2 linked regions of the Cricetulus griseus genome follow. The protein of the gene in region 1 interacts with the protein of each later gene in a biochemical or structural test. Links are inferred from orthologs where the notes say so. Each region holds a gene or a part of one and is shown in the gene's direction. Other genes may lie near its edges. The genes, in order: Gprasp1 and Oprd1.

Evidence for each region.
Region 2: the proteins of Gprasp1 (region 1) and Oprd1 form a complex in vitro, tested with the Homo sapiens proteins (2 studies listed by BioGRID and IntAct). The link is inferred for Cricetulus griseus from reciprocal best matches to the Homo sapiens genes GPRASP1 and OPRD1.

The regions. Positions count from the first base shown.
Region 1 is NC_048604.1:44,563,878-44,572,307, reverse strand, and holds the end of Gprasp1 (G-protein coupled receptor-associated sorting protein 1), read left to right. Parts: exon of another isoform or gene 1-96; intron 97-175; exon of another isoform or gene 176-226; 5' UTR 227-330; intron 331-591; 5' UTR 592-672; intron 673-945; 5' UTR 946-1,258; coding exon 1,259-5,203; 3' UTR 5,204-5,573; downstream 5,574-8,430. UniProt on the Homo sapiens protein: Modulates lysosomal sorting and functional down-regulation of a variety of G-protein coupled receptors. Targets receptors for degradation in lysosomes via its interaction with BECN2.
Region 2 is NC_048595.1:21,092,819-21,101,690, forward strand, and holds the start of Oprd1 (delta-type opioid receptor), read left to right. Parts: upstream 1-3,724; coding exon 3,725-3,948; intron 3,949-8,872. UniProt on the Homo sapiens protein: G-protein coupled receptor that functions as a receptor for endogenous enkephalins and for a subset of other opioids.

The DNA.
Region 1 (8,430 bases):
GGCTGGTCAGTTCTGATAGAAAGGAAAGAAGGCATCGAGGAGACTGTCTTAAGATCTCTGGAGGTTGGTGAGCCTCGTGGGCAGCGCAGGAGCCAGGTACTGAGGAAGCAAATGCAGAGTGCTGTAACCCAAGAGGGTGCATGATGTCTTTACTGTCCCCTCTATTTGCCCACAGCTGCTGCCATCATTTCCCAATCGTCTTACATTGTCATCTCTTTGTCCACAGGCCTGCTTTAAGGCAGGCCAGTTCTGAGAGAAAGAAAGAAGGCATCGAGGAGACTGTCCCAAAATCTCTGGAGGTTGTCGACAATTGGGCAGTACAGGAGCCAGGTACTGAGGAGGCAAATGCAGAGTGCTGTAACTCAAGTGGGTGCCTGATGTCTTTACTGTCCCCTAAATATGCTCACTGCCACAACATCCTTTCTTCCCTTTCAGAGAGGTAGATATGAGTTAGTCTGTGATCCACAGGAAAAGAGCTGGGACTGGGGACAGCAACTTTAGACAGAAAGTGGGCATGGTTTTGTTGTTGTTTGTTTGGGCCCAGGGATGTGTGCCTATGTGGCAGGCACTAAAGTCCCTTTCCTTTTGCAGGACTTCCCCCCCACTGTCAGCTGTTGGTCTTAACATCGCTTGAACGCATCAAAAGGAGGGAATTGCACCACCTCGGCGAAGGTTGGTATGGGAGGGCTTCACTTTTAGGTGGGAGTAGTAGGGATCACCAAGAGTGACTGCTGTGAGATTCGGGGGCTCCTCTCTATCTTCATTTCTAGGGTGTATACTATTTCCTCAACCCTGCACCTGTTTTCCCTTGGGCAAAAGAACATAGAGGTTTTCTCTTAGCTGAGCTGTTCCACTCAGCGTTATGCACCAGTGTCTCTGTGTAGTTGCTACAGGAGGCAACAGAATTGTATGAGACTGATTTCCTCCTTTTTTTTCTCTTTCTAGATCACCTGCAGTAGCTGCTTGGTGGTGCTGGGGTTGCTGCTGACCAGTGCACTCAACAGATCTGCACCCACCTAGGACCTGTCCATCGTCCCCTGGCTTGGCCTCACCTCTTCTGCACTGTATCTGTGTTATTGACTGAGACTGCTTGGGTAGGAGCCTCGTTGAGTGCTGGATTGTCACTCTCGTCTAATTCTTTTAGATCTCATAGTCTAACTTACCAAAGAGTGTTGTGAAGATCAGCCCTGTAACAGATCTGCAGTGAAGGTTTACTGTTGTTAATTGGTATATATCGGGGTTTTATCTAACATATACTATGACTAAGGCAGAGATGGAGCCTGGTGCCCAGGCAAAGGCCGAGAGTAAGCCTGGGGATGAGAATGCCAATACCAATACCAATGGTGCTGAGGGAGAGAGTGAAGCCCCAATGGTGGTCAGACCCAAGGTTAGGACACAGATAATGCCTGGAGCAAGACCCAAAGTGAGGCCTAAGACTACTCCTGCACCCAGACCTAGGAGTGAAGCCAGTGCACCAGCTGGGGCATATGCTAAATGCAAACCCAAGTCCATCCCTATTGCACGATCAAAGAATGATGCCCAAGTCTGGGCTCCAAATCGGTTTCGGGCAGAGCCCATGTCAAAAATGGGCAAACAATGTCAGATCAATCCTGCAGACTCTCCACTGGTCAATACTGATTCTGGGATGGTTGCTCAAGCGAAGTGCCTGTCTGTAGATAGAGAACATGGTCATATGGACACTGAGAGTTTTCCTAGGAAGGCTAATTCTCAAGCAGGATACCAGCCTTCCTTTGGCTCAGAGGAGGGAACCAGTATGGGGTCCTGGTACCGTCCCAGGCCTACCCCCAAAGGAGAGGCTTATGAGAATTCTGATTTCAGATGGGCAGACAAACCCTCAGGAAGTTCCTCCTTCTGGAATAGGGATGAAACTAGTGCAAGATTTCGTCCTAGGAAAAACATGAAGCCCAGTAATACCAGGTTCAGACATATGCCCAAACAAGAGGCAAATAGCATGCCTAGGCACAAAACCAAACAAGAGCTATATAATATTTCTAGTTCTGATTCTGAAGAGGAGTCTGCTAAGACTCCCTGGTTCTGGGCCAAAGAAAAGCCCAAAGTCTGGTCTAGGCCCAGAGAAGAGCCCAATAATAGGTCCTGGATTAGGCCTAAGAAAGAAGTCCGTGTTGAATCCTCTTCCGGGTCTGAATGTGAAAATCAGACAAAATCTTCATTCTGGTCTGGAGAAGATGCCAAATCTAGACCCAAACCCAGAGCCAGGAAAGGGATGAATACGAGGGCCAGGCACCAGGCCAAGCGAGAGGCTGGCAGTGACGGCCTATCTGCATCTGTAGATACAAACAAAAAAGAGTCCTGCTCCTTCCCTGAAGATAAGGCTAGTGCTTTGTCAAAGTCTAAGCCAAAGAAAGAGCCCAAAACCAGAGCAGTGCCAAAGGAAGAAGTCAAAACCAAGGCCAGAGCAACTACCAAACGAGAAGCCAGGGCAGAGGAGGAAGTCTTCATTGGGGCTTGGTTCTGGGATACCCAGGAGCCCAGGATGGTAGATAGGGTAAGCCCCAAGGCCAGCTTACTTGTAGAGGAGGAGCCCTTTGTTGGAGATTGGTTCTGGAGTGAAGAAGAAACCAGTGTGGACTCTGAGACCTGTTGTAAACCCAGACGAAGGGCTAAGGAGGAACAAGTTAGGGCTTTCTCTTTAGGCTCTGGAAAGAAGACCAGTATGGAAAATGGGCCCAAGCCTACCTCTAAGTCTGTGCCTGTAGCTAATGAGGAGGAAAAGAACATTGTTGGGTCCTGGTTCTGTGCTGATGATGAAGATATCAACTTAGAGGCTGAGGACGAGTCCATTTTTGGATCTTGGTTCTGGGGTGTTGGCGAGAACTCCCTGAGATCTGTTGGAGTCAGTTATGAGAAGATGCTAAAGTCTGGGGAAAAAGAAGTTACTGATTCGTGGTTCTGGGCTAGGGAAGTCAATCCAGAAGCTGAGGTTGAAGAACAGGCCAGGCCAGCATCTGCAAAAGGGACAATCTTTGTGCCTTGGTTTTGGTCTGAAAAAAATTTAGGGACTGAACCTTGCTCTGACATCATGGCAGGAGCTGAGGAGGAGCCCATAATTGGGCCCTGGTTCTGGGCTAAAGTAGACAATAGTGCAGACATTGACGATAGCAGTAAGTCTAGCCTGGAGGATGAGGAAGAGCCCATTATATCTCCTTGGCTTGGGGCCAGAGAACAAGCCAATATGAAGTATGCAGCTGGGGCCAGATACAAGCCTGTGGCAGAAGCTGGGGAAAATAATAAAAGGTCTGACTTCTGGGCAAAAGAACCCAGTTTGTGTCATGCCAATAGACAAATCTTGAAGTCTACTCTGAGAGAGCAAGAGAACACTGTTGATTCATGGCTCTGGTCCAATAATTATCCAAGGAAACAGGCCATTGCAGGGTCCTGGTTATGGGCTGCAGAAGAGGGAAATATAGATGATGAGACCGGAGAAGAGATCAAGCTACCAACTTTAGAGGACAACATACTCAATTCTTGGTTCTGGAAGGAAAACGAAGAAACTGTTGTAGAAGCTGCCAACAGAGAGGAATCCAAGCCAGAAGCTGAAGAGGAAGACATCATTGGCTCCTGGTTTTGGGCTGGGGATGAGAACAGATTTCAGCCAGCAACTGAGATTAATGAAGAGAACAAGATAACATCCGAAGAGGAAGATACAGTTGGATCCTGGCTCTGGGGCAAGGAAGAGGCCAGTCTTGAGGCAATGAGAAGGGGCACTTTTGAGTCCACTCCTGGTATTAAGGAGGGAAAAATTAGTGGGTCCTGGTTCTGGACCGAAGAAGCCAAAGTAGGGGCTGGGTCGCAGACAATCGAAACTGGGTCAGAAACTGAAGAGGAGGCAATTTTTCAGTCTTTGATCTGGGCTGCCAAAAAGGACAATGTACGAGCGGGAGTAAACCGTGTGTCCAAGCCAGAAAATGAGAAAGGGCCAAATGTTGAGGTTAGGTCAAGTGCAAAAGATGAGGTGATTAACAAGGCTGGCAGTGGAGATAACTGTGAATCTAATGCAGAAGCTGAAAACATAGTGGGATCCTGGTTCTGGGAAGGAGATGAAGCTAGTTTTGAATCAAATCCTACTCCTGTATTCAAGGCCGTTTGCAAGCCTAAGTCTTCAGCTGAGCAGGAACCTGATCCTTCCCGCAGACCCCAGAGCTGGGATGAGGTCACTGTTCAGTTTAAGCCTGGTCCATGGGGAAAGGCTGGTTTCCCATCCATAAGCCCCTTCAGGTTTCCAAAAGAAGCAGCATGTCTGTTTGCTGAAATGTTTGGGGGGAAACCTAAGCAAGAAGGAGAGGAGGAATCTTCATGTCAGTCTGAAAATGGGTTTCCATTTCAGTATGATCCCTCTTACCGATCAGTCCGGGAAATTCGAGAGCATCTTAAGGTCAGGGAAAGTGCAGACCCTGAGAGCTGGTCCTGTAGCTGCATACAGTGTGAGCTTAATATTGGCTCTGAGGAGTTTGAGGAACTTCTTTTACTGATGGACAGAAACCGAGACCCTTTCATTCATGAAATATCTAAAATTGCAATGGGCATGAGAAGCGCTTCTCAGTTTACCCGAGATTTCATTAGAAACTCGGGTGTCGTCTCACTTATCGAAGCCTTACTTAACTATCCGTCCACCCGAGTTAGGACAAGGTTTTTGGAAGATATGGTTAGCATGGCTCCACCTTATCCAGATCTAAATGTGATTCAGACATACGTGTGTCAGGTTTGTGAGGATACCTTTGATTATGACTTGGATTCCCCCGAGCAGTTGTCTGGATTGTCAATGATTACCCACCTCAGTGCTACTTCTGACTACCACAAAGTGGTTGGCAAGTATTTGGCTGGGTTCTTCTACTTACTGAATTCAGGCAATACCAAAACAAGGTTTCATGTTCTGAAATTGCTACTGAATTTGTCTGAAAATCTCATCATGACAAAACGACTGCTTGCTACTGAGTCCATGTCTGAATTTATGACCCTCTTTAGTAAGGAGGACTCAAATGACAACATTCAAATTGTTCTTGCGATATTTGACAAGATTAGCAAAAATATACAGAAAGAAGCCCTGTTTGCTGATGATGATGATGAGGAGGAGGAGGTGGTGGTGAATCTTGACCCACTTATTTCTGCATTCCATGAGATTGAAAACTTTGCTAAAACACTAAAACGCAAACCTGACAATTAAAAATCACCCGAAGCAGAACAAAACCATTTAATATGCTTAACCATTTGCCTATGATTGTCCTTGTGTTCCCAAGTCATAACGACCCTCAAGTAATGCTTTGGTTTCACAGCTGATTCCGTGTTTCAGTGTACCTCTTCAATGCTGGTGATAATTTTACCCAACTCTGTGGAAGCTGTATCATTTTCCTAATGCCAAATGAATATACAACTGAGAACACATTTGTTGATGATACTTGTTTTGTTGATTGTACTGTTCAATATGTGAGTTTAAAGTGAACTGAGCCATTGTAAATAAGATACCCTTCTAATTGTGCCCATGTGTATCTATTTGAGTGAGTCTTGTGCTTCAATAAAGTTATATGTTAAAGCAAGCAGAAATTTCCCCTTCACTATAAAATAACAGATGCAAAGATGGCACATGAACATGCACACAAATATTGTATGAGTAACATGCTTGTTACAAAAGCTTTTTCTCAGCATTAAATCTGAAAAGTTGGAATGGACTGCAACTCGGAGCATACCTCCGAGAGGAGTCACTTTAAGGTATACCCTAATTCAACTTACGGTGAGAGGGAAAGTGTGGGGTATGAAAAAGTGCATCTATATTTATATATCCAGATTCTTGGACTAGGTGGGAGGAGTACAAATTGAAAATAATATATTGAAAATGAGGTAAGTTTTGAAGCGCAAATGGAACTTTGCTGTTCAAAATACTGTGTTCAAAATACAACCAGTGCAATGCAGAGTGTAAAAGAATAACACCAGTAAGCACAACATTTTAATTCAGTCAAGTGCATAATTAAATCATAATGGTTTTGTTATCACTTGATAAGACACTGTCCTGTGGTATTAGAGCTGGGGAGATGGCTCAGTATAAAGTGCTTGCTAGGCAAGCCTAATGTCCTCAGTTCGGACCCCAATCACCCACATAAAAATACAGCGATGCTTGTGAATATCTCTAACCCTTGTTCTCAGGAGCAGAGACGGGAAGGTCCCAGGGGCTTTCTGGCCAGCCAGGCTAGCCAGTCTGTGAGCTTGAGGTTTTGTAAGAGACCCTGTCTCAAAAATGAAGTGATTGCAATAGAGGAAGAAATTTGATATAGTCATATGGCCTCTGCACATGTACACATGTACATAATACCACATACACAACACATGAAGTCAAGTGTTTAACCACTGATTTTAAAATGTAGTAAGCCATGACCCTTTCAATAATTTGTAAAGAATTGTGTATATGGAAATAATGGAGGAGTCTAGAAGGAGTTGGGGGAAGAAGAAAATATGATTAAATCTGTTGTATGAAAAAAGGTTTTAAATAAAAATTTAAGAATAATTAATTACATTTAAAACATAAATGTAGGTGGGACAAATTTACTCAAAGTATGTTACTAGTTTATGAAATTTCTACAGTTACATATACAAAACATCAAAGGAATAATGACACAACTTCAGAACTGGGTTGTCAATCAGAGCACAAAATTATCTAAAAACAAAAACTATCTGCAAAACTATCAAAGTTTACTAATTCATTCCACACTATTTTGTTGTTGATGTTTCTGGAGACAGGCTGTTTTGTAGCCCTGGCTAGCTTCAACCTTGGTGTGTACCTGGGACTCACTTTGAACTTCTAATGCTAGGATTAGGGGTGGCTGTACTCAGATTCAGGCAACACTGGGATTGAACTTTCCTTCATGCATGATAAGAAAGCACACTTTAAGACTGATTTGCACCTCCAGTCCCACACAATGTATCATTAATTCATGAAGGTTGTAGCATAGGCTCATAAGGGGAAATATATAGCAAAATAGGGAAATATATAACGTTTTAGATATTTTATTGGCATATACAGAATAATGGGTTTCCTAATGATATTTGCTTATATGCATATAATACATTTTGATCATATTAACCCTGTTACTGTCTTCTTCCACTCCTATTTCCAGTGATCCCTTTCTTTTAATCAACTGGCTACCCCCACCTTTTAAGTTGTTTTTTTTTTTTTTTTTTCTGATGATCCGGTTAGTTTAATTAAGGTTATTTATGGGAGCACGGTCAACTTTGCTGTGGTTACACCATGGATAAAAATACCTCTCATGGCCCCAGCAACTATTAACTGGCTGTGGAACCTCAGACAGGCATGGGAGCATGTAAGTTCCTCCCCCAAGCAACCATTAATTGACTAAATCCTCAGGGAATGGCAAGGCCTTAACAGGAACACCCCTCTACAATGAAATGTCAAAGGGCCAATCTTGTGCAAAAGACCACAGCTTCTAAGAGTTCCAGAGTGCAATAGTCCTGTCTTGCCCAGAAGACAGCATTTCACAACACCCCTTCCTCCAGCTCTTACATTCTTCTTGTCTCCTTTTATACAGTATTTCCTGAGCTTTGGATGGGGTGACATAGATGTCCCATTTAGGGACAGACATTCAACAGTGACATTCTCAGCACTGTAACCAGTTAGGAGTCTCTGCAGTAACTGTTGCTCAGTGCAAAAAGAAGCTGATGTGCTCTGCAAGGCTCCAGGGACTTTACTGGAGTGATGAGGATGTAAAGAAAGGACAAATGTGAGTACAGAAAAGCTAGAATCAGGTGCGTTGTGCTTTTCTGATGGAGTAGCTACAGTACCCCAGAAGCTTGGTGTGTTTATTACAGTTGAATAGGAAGGCAGGACTATCAAATACAGTGGAGTTATTACATATGGATACACAAGGAGTCGGGATTATTGAACATATCTGAACAAGGTTTAGCTAATGTTGTAAAGAGCTGTCTCTGTAAGGGAGGTAAACATCCATGGGAGAAAGTTATGCTGGACATTTTCTGCACACACTCAAACTAGAGGAAAGCTTTATCATCACTCCTCTGAGCCTCACCCAGGGAAGGTTTTGTCACTCTCATGGAATTAAGGCATTGGGGTCCTTAGGCATGGCCATGCCCATATCAGCAACACAATTCACTTGGGACTTCACTCACTCTTTACACCTCTCTGACCATAACTGACACAATACATATGGGTGTGCACTTTGGAGGGTTAGAAGGGGCAGTAGTAGTTCAAGGTCAGTCTTGACTACCTAGCAAAGTTGAGACCAGTCTGGGCTACATGAGACCTTGCCTCAAAAAAAGAAATACAGCCAGGCAGTGGTGGCACACACCTTTAATCCCAGGAAGCAGAGGCAGGTGGATCGCTGTGAGTTTGAGGCCGGCCTGGTCTACGGCGCAAGTTCCAACAAC
Region 2 (8,872 bases), on another chromosome or scaffold:
GAAGAAATAAATGCCTTTATAAATGACTACTGGGGGGATGAGGGAGGGAACTTTCCCCGCCAGCCTTCTCTCAGAACCCAGGACATTAGCCAAGAGCACATAACTGAGATGTTCCAATACGGTCTTACTCCAATCCACCTGGGGGTCTTTGTCATTTCAAATGACATTTCTTGAGCATCCCATAGGACCAGACTTCCCTGGCCTCAAAGTCACAGAGATCCAAATGCCTCTGCCTCCCGAGTGCTGGGACTAAAGGTGTGAGCCACCACTGCCTGGCGACATCTTTACCTAGTTAAAGTAATATTCTGCAACATAAACAGAGTAACACATCTTCACATAGGTAAAGTAATAGCCCCCAACAAACCACCACAGGTTGTATAGCCATTTCATCTTTCAAACATTCCCTTGACTGCCAGGCATAGTAGCTCACATCTGTAATTCCAGCACTTGGGAGGCATAGTCAGGAGATTACCACTGGTTTGAAGGTAACATAGTCTACACTGTGAGTCCCTGGGCTGTACAGTAGGGCCCTATCTTAAAAAAAAAAAAAAAAAAGCTAGGCAGTGGTGGCGCACACCTTTAATCCAAGCACTCAGGAGGCAGAGGCAGGTGGATCTCTGTGAGTTTGAAGCCAGTCTGGTCAACAAAGTGAGTTCCAAGACAGCCAAGACTGTTAACACAGAGAAACAGGTCTTGAAAAACAAAACAAAAAATGTCTCTTTGGAGGGCATGTGTGAACAGACTCATAAGAAATAAAAATGTAGGAAGCCCAGCAAACTTATGACAGATGCTGAGCTTCTTGGCTCAGGGCAAATAAACAGCAAAGAGTTGCTAGGGAGTGGAGACTCTTCAGTGTTGTAGATGCCCAAGAGTTGTGCCAGGGATTTCCCTTAAGTCATCATCCACGAGTGCATGGGGCTTTTGTTGGTGATGAACCTGCTCTAGGTTTTCCTCCTCTAGTAGGTAACCCCGCACCCAAGCTCTTATAAGCAGCTAAAGCAAGTAGCCAAACTAGACTTAAATAGATCTTTTCTTTGGTCTGTCCTTGTCCTCTCTGTCTGACTAGAAATAGAGTTCCCAGGCATGCAACAGTTTGGTAGAGAGAATGTTCTAGAATGTCTGGGAACCTTAAGGAAAAGGATGGCTCAGGATCTGGGCTGGAGAATGGGTGTGGGAAGGAAGAGTCAGTTAAATGACCCCCCACTCCCTCATTTGCTCTTCTAACAGCACAAGTGGTCCTTAAGGTGGTCTTGTTTTTAAGACAGGGTCTCACTACGCAGCCCTAGCTGTCCTGGAACAGGCTGAGTCGACCTGGCTGGTCTTGAATTCATCGAGATCTGCCTGCCCCTGCCACCTGAGTGCCGGGATTAAAGGTGTGTGCCACCACACTGGGAGATCTTTTTTTGTTTGTTGAATTTTTGCTGCAGGATTGTATGTGCACCATGTGTATGCAATGTCCATGAAGGCCAGAAGAGGGGAGGGCCAGAACCCCTAGAACACAGGCTGGAGAGATGGCTCAGGGGTTAAAAGCACTGGTTGTTCCAGAGGACCTGAGTTCAATTCCCAGCAACCACATAGTGGCTCACAACCATCTGTAATGAGATCTGATGCCCTCTTCTGGCCTGCAGGGATGCATGCAGGCAGAACACTGTGTACATAATAAATAAATAAATCTTAAAAAACAAAACAAAACCTTAGAACTAGAGTACAGATTGTTGAGAGTCACCATGTGGATGCTGGGAACTGAACTCCAGTCCTCTGCAGGAACAGCAAGTGCTCTTAGCCACCGAGTCACCTCTCCAGCCCTTCTTAGGTTGCTTGTCTTAGGGGTTTTTTTTTGATTGCTGTGATAAAACACCGGGACCAAAAGCATTTAGGGGAGGAAAGGGTTTGCTTGGCTTACCTGATGGGCGCATCATAGCCCATTCTCTAAGAATCTCAGGGCAGGAACTTGGAGGCAGAAACTGAGGCAGAAGCCACAGAAGAACACGGCTTACTGGCTTTCTCAACCTGCTTTCTAATACAGCCGAGGAGTGGCTGCTCAGGGGTGGCATTTGCACCCCCACATCAGTAATAAAGAAAATGTTCCACAGACTTGTCTACAGGCAAATCTTATCGGGCATTTTCTCAATTAAGATTCCCTCTTCGAGCCGGGCCGTGGTGGCACACACCTTTAGTCCCAGCAGTTGGGAGGCAGAGGCAGGTGGATCTCTGTGAGTTTGAGACCAGCCTGCCTAGTTCCAGACAGCCTCCAAAGCCACAGAGAAACCCTGTCTTGAGAAACAAACCAAACCAAAACAAAAGATTCCCTCTTCCCAGATATGTTTAGTCAAATTGAGGCCAACAAATAAAGAAACTGAACGCAATGACCTTTCAGATCTTGTCCATCGTAGAGACCCATTCTCTCACACACCACCTGCTGTAGGCCCTGGGTGGCTTCAGTCCTTTTGACTGTAGGGCCTTCGTGTATGTTTCCTTTTTCTAGAATGCTCTTCCTGATTTCTTCCCTAAATTAGTCTCCCTCACTCCTAAATTCACACCTCACCTCAGCTGTCATTTCCTTAGGAAACCTATCCTAAGGGCCCCCCCCCCCCGTTTCATAGCCCCATCCCCTTCCTCAAGCCCCATCCCCTTCCTCAAGCAGGACTTGAGCGTGAGTTTTAGAATTGGTGTGTGGCTCTCCCTTTGAGCTGGAAGCCCTTGGGAGCCGGACACCCCTGTGCTGCCTCTTACATGAGGCACCCTCCGAGGATCTGTGGAGCTAATGAATGGATATAGAAAAACATGGCTGCTAATGGGTGTTGGTAGATCTCTCCTTCTCTCTCTAAAGCGCTCACTTACATCGGAAGCAGTGAGCTAGCTCAGAGCACAGCTCCAAGACAGGAAAGTTATCAGGATACTCAACTTTCCTGATAGCTGTGACCTTTTCAGCTTGATGTGGTGAGATGCCAGGCACCCTGATGGCATCACGTCTGCCATCTCCTATGCAAGGCCTTACAGACTCAGGTGGGTCCTTCATTTCCAGTGTCTCTCCCTGGGGTTGTAGCTGATTTTTATCACCAAATCTAATTAGGATCTTTTTGGGGGAACCGGACGGTTTTGTTTTTGCCTCTTGGTCAGGAGTCACTTGATTGTTTTGGGAGAAGACATGGAGAAGAGTAGAGAGCGCACAGAACATCGAGTCGCAGGAAAGAAATCTGAGTTCTTTACTCCGTCGTCTTCATCTCCCCCAAACCCTATCAAGACGGCAGGGTGATTTTCTTCATCTTGCAGATACAGAGAATGAACTTGAGAGCGCTTAAGCGACTCGCTCAAGGTTACACCCCTCGTCCGTGCAGAGGCGGGAGGCGGGATTCGCATCCAGGTTCTTCTGACTCCAAAGTGGCACCGGGGTGGTGCGGGAGGCCAGGCCGGACTGGGGGCGCCAGGCGGAACCCAGCGAGGGAGCACGCGGGAGGCCTCTCCGGCCCAGCCCCCGAGCCGGTGGTGCAGCGCCCGCCCCCGATCGCGGGCTCAGACTGGCGGCCGCCTCCGAGCCACGTGGTGCACGCGGCGGCTCGGGGCTCCCAGGGCTTGGGCGAGCGCAGCGGGCGGCCGGCTGGGCGGAGGAGGCGGGAGCTAGCGCTGCAGCCTGCGACGTCGGGGCCGTGGCCTCCGCTGTCCGTGCGCCACTTTCTGGGTCCCTGCGCCCAGGGCGCACGGTGGAGACGGACGCGGCGGCGCCATGGAGCCAGTGCCCTCTGCCCGCGCGGAGCTGCAGTCCCCGCTGGCCAACGCCTCGGACACCTTCCCCAGCGCCTTTCCCAGTGCGAGCGCCAACGCGTCGGGGCCGCCGGGCGCCCGGAGCGCCTCATCCCTCGCCCTAGCCATCGCCATCACCGCGCTCTACTCGGCTGTGTGCGCAGTGGGGCTGCTGGGCAACGTGCTCGTCATGTTTGGCATCGTCCGGTGAGTTAGCCGAGGGCCCCGCGTGGGGTTTGGTCCCAGGGTCAGTGTGGACACTACGTTTTTGCAGACCCGGATCCCAACCCCGAGTCTCCCAGCTCCTGCATGTCCCGCACAGAGGCCAAGTCCTCTCTCTCTCTCTCTCTCTCTCTCTCTCTCTCTCTCTCTCTCTCTCTGTGTGTGTGTGTGTGTGTGTGTGTGTTTTCTTGCACTAGCCTAACTACATCACAATTAATCATCCTTGACATTCCTTTGCTTCTGCATCCGGGAAGTGAGGCCGTTTGGCAACACTTTGTCACACACAGTTTGTGATCCAGCAATTTGACAGGAGGAGTGTGTGTGTGTGTGTGTGTGTGTGTGTGTGTGTGTGTGTGTGTGTGTGTGTGTGATGTGTGTGTGTGTCTGTGTGTGTGTGTGTGTGTGTGTGTGTGTCTGTGTGTGTGTGTGTGTGTGTGTATGTGTGTGTGTGTGTGTATGTGTGTGTGTGTGTGTGTGTGGTCCTCTGAAACATCACAGGGGTGGGCTGAGGTGTTTTATACCATGCCTTGGGTCTTCGGAGCATACAGCAGGGACAGATCCATGCTGCAGGGACACTCCACAAATCACATTTGGTTGTCATCATTTGTGGTTGCTGTGGCAGTGTGGGCTTGTCCCAAAACATCAGTTTGTGATTCTGTATGAGACTGTATTTGCATTGTTTCTTGTCAGGCCTCTACAGCTCCTAGGTGAGGGAGACATCCAGGATGGCTTTGCGCACCTGTCTTTAAGCTGTGTGTTCTCTAATAGAGAGCCCCATGGTTCCTGTGGACTGGCCATAGGTTCTCTTCCCTTCCACAGTGGTCATGTGGTCAGGAACTCTGTCTATGATTCAGGGCAGGCTATCCTTCTTGAGGTCTAGGATACAGCAAGACCAGGGTGGTGATGGGAAAGAGAGAGAGAGAGAGAGAGAGAGAGAGAGAGAGAGAGAGAGAGAGAAGAGACAGGAGAGAGGCAAACAAGGGCTTAAGAGACACAGGATGTAGCTCAGTGGGTAGAGCTTGTGTAAATTTGTGACACCCTGGGTTCGATCCCTGACACACCATAAACTGGGTGTGGTGGTCCATGGCTGTAATCCCAGCCCTGTGGGTATGGAAGCAGAAGGCTCAGAAGCCAGAAGTTATCTTTGGTTGCATAGAGAACTGGAGGCCAGTCGAGGACAACGGGCTTGGGGTAGAGTTAAATGGGAGAGCACCTGCCCACCAATGTGCAACACTGAGTACTGCCTAAGTTAACAAAGTGAAATGTCTCTAATTCACTGTACCTGGGGGCACAGTGACGTTAGTAAAGCATTTTTTTCTCTCTCATACTGAGGTAAGGGTTCATAGCAGGCTTTGCAGTATGAAAGGTTTGGGTTGTCCCCTCTGTCTTCTGCCGAGGTTCCCTGGGGCTGCTGGGAAGAGTTCTCAACCACAATTTTGAGACTTGGGAGCACCAAGCCCAGTGTTGTTTAGAGAGATGCAGTATGGCCGCTTGCCTCTGTCCCCCCTCTTGCTCAGATTAGGGGTTCAGATCTTTTACTCCCAGTCAGAAGACCCTCCAGAAAGATGAGGCAGTGTGGAGGTAAAGGTCATGGCTGTGGTGTGGTGCCCAGTTTCTAACATCTTCAACATGACTGATGTGGTGGTGGCCAAAAAGCTCAACTTTCCGGAGCCTCCCTTACCTCATTTGAAAAAGTATGGTGACTACAATAGGCTGTTGGGAAGGTTTAACAGAGTGATGCAGGGAATGTCCTCATAGCAGGCACCTGGAGTACACTAGGCCTTCCGTGTGTGTTGGGGGCTGGGCCAGCACGTCAGCAGCTTCTGCAGGTGGGCAGCTGTTGAGGATTAGTTGTCTATAGTTTCCATGTTGGGCCCTGTCTCCTGCCCTGCAAACGTGCACATTTAGTCAGTCATCAATTAAAATCACTGTTGTTACTCATTGCTACACCTGTCCAGCCTTAGGTTTTTGTTTTTGTTTTTGACACAGCTTTGGCTGGTCTGAAACTCACTATGCAGAACATGGCTGGCTTTGCAGTCATCTCTTAGAGATCCACCTGCCTTGGCCTCCCGAGTGCTAGAATTAAAGGTGTGCACCATCATGCCTGGCCGTCAGAGCTTTCGATGCCCAGAGCGTGAGTGAGCCCAAACCTCAGGTAGCCTCTAGCTCTTAACATCCATACTCAAGGATCTAAGGTTAGAGGCTACCTCAGGATCAAATCCTAGGGCTGTGGGATTCAGGGCAGGGACTTGATTTAGCCAGAGGAGGTGATGCCTGGACTGAGTGGTGAAGGAGCAGCTGCAGTGGGCTCTGTGGTGAGGTGGGTGGGGCAGAAGGACATCGAGAGATCTGGTAAAGAGCCAGGAGTTTCGTCTGGGGTCTGGGTGGCCAGAAGGTGGAGAGGCTGCAGGATAAAGGCATAAAAAGCCTTGGCAGTGGTGGTCCTCTCTCTGGGGTTGTTGGAAACGTCTGCTATGTCCTGAGCTTCGTTAGAGCCTAGTGGCTGGTGATGAGTCTGTCAACTTAGCCTCTGCCTTCCAGAATGCCCAAAAAGGTGTAGACGCTGGAGGGGTTCTATAGACCCCAGGCAACAGAAGGAATTGATCTGGGGGAGGGCGGGAAAATGGGGAAGGAGTGAGAAGTTGAGGAGAGTCTTGGAGACAGGCCAGGGTGGCTGTGTTAGGAACAGGCAGTGTGCTGGGGCTCTGACTGCTATTCTGGATGTGGAATTGGAGTCTGGACAGGTTCTTGGCTCCATGCTAAGGCCAGCTGTGCTGGGAAGTCTAGGGGTGTCTGGGGAGGGGGACATCTGTGAAGAATGGTGGTCAAGAGTATAGATCTGGTATAGTCTGGAGCAGACGAGGTGGGCAGAGAGTGAGTGTGGGGGGAATCAGAGGCTGGTGCCAGGCAACGGGAGGAGCCCTGTGACCCTGGGCAGGTAACCAAAACCCCTGTCTCCAGCCTCCATGGCCTCTCTGCAACTCAAGCCTGCTAGACCTGACAGGAAGGCAGAAACTGGACTGATGACTTTGGGTGAAACCAAACGGGGAGAGGGCAGAGTGAGCAGCAGCCAGGGCCTCCTGGCCTTACCCACAATCTGCCATTTCCTAGGTCTTAGGATCATTCCCTGAGGAGTGTGTATGACTCACAGACACAGCGGGGTGAGTAGGAGGAGTCACCAAGGACACCGAAGTCTTTCCTGAGCCTTCTCCTGGGCTCTAGGGATTCTCCAACCTGCACCACAATTCTGCAGTGGGACTTTCTATTCTCATTCATAGTCGAGGACATGGGTACAGAGGCCTCCCACTACAGAGGAGTTTAGTGGAGTCACAAGCTCAGCTTTTGTTCTGTGACAGAGTTTCCTATAGCCAAGGCTGGTCCCCAACTTGCTGTGTAGTTGAGGATGAACTAGAACTTCTCCTCTTCCTGTCTCTGCCACACCAAGTGCTGGGGTTACAGACAAGCATGCCCAGCATAGACTCAGGTCTTTCTGAGCCCCCAAACCAGCGTTAACCACTCCGCCTATGCTACTCTTGAGACGCATGCAGAGTGGAGGTCAGGGTTGTGCAAATCTCCGAGACCTCAGTGGGTGACCCAGAAGCTGCAAGCCCAAATTTCAGGGCCAACTGACATTTTCTAAGAGAGTGAGCTTAAACAATCCGTACATTAATCTTTCTGTGCCTCAGTGTTCTGCTCTGTGGAATGGGAGGATGGTAGACCCTCCAAGGATGAGTGTGAGGAGATCACGGAGCATGAACCAGCACCAGGTGTTTAGTAAGGGTCTCAGAAGCAATTTCTGTGAAGTCTGGCTGTGAGGGGGAGGGGTAAGGCTCACCTCTCATTCACCCCATTGATGTTTATTAAGCATGGGAAGAGCTCTGAGTGGGTGCTACAGGGCAAGTTCATCAGGTCAATATTAGAAGCTTTCTTTTATAATAAAGATAACTAGATAGTTACTTCAGGACCTAAGGAGATGTTCTGGCAGAGGTTGATATTACCCATAATCCTACTGCAGAGAAAAGCTTAGTCATTTATATGCATTTCTTTCCCATCTCTGCTTCTGTACACACACACACACACACACACACACACACACACACACACACACACACAGAGAGAGAGAGAGAGAGAGAGAGAGAGAGAGGAACACACACAGAAAGAGAGAGAGAGAGGAACACACACACACACATGAGAGAGAGAGGAACACACACACACACAGAGAGAGAGAGGAACACACACACACACACACACAGAGAGAGAGAGAGAGAGGAACACACACATAAACACACACACATACAGAGAGAGAGAGAGAGAGAGAGAGAGAGAGAGAGAGAGAGAGAGGAACACACACATAAACACACACACATACAGAGACACACACACACACACACACACACAGAGAGAGAGGAACACACACGGACACATAAACACACACACACAGAGAGAGAGAGAGAGAGAGGGGAACACACACAGACACACACACAGAGAGAGAGAGAGAGAGAGAGAGAGAGGAGAGAGAGAAACACACACACACACACAGAGAGAGAGGAACACACACAGAAACACACACACACACACACACACACAGAGAGAGAGAGAGAGAGAGAGAGAGAGAGAGAGGAACACACACAGACACATAAACACACACATACATACAGAGAGAGAGAGAGAGAGAGAGAGGGAGGAACACACAGACACATAAACACACACACACACACATACAGAGAGAGAGAGAGAGAGAGGGAAGAACACACACAGACACATAGACACACACACACATACAGAGAGAGAGAGAGGAACACACACAGACACATAAGCACACACACACATACAGAGAGAGGAACACACACAGACACATAAACACACACACACATACAGAGAGAGAGAGAGAGAGAGAGAGAGAGAGAGA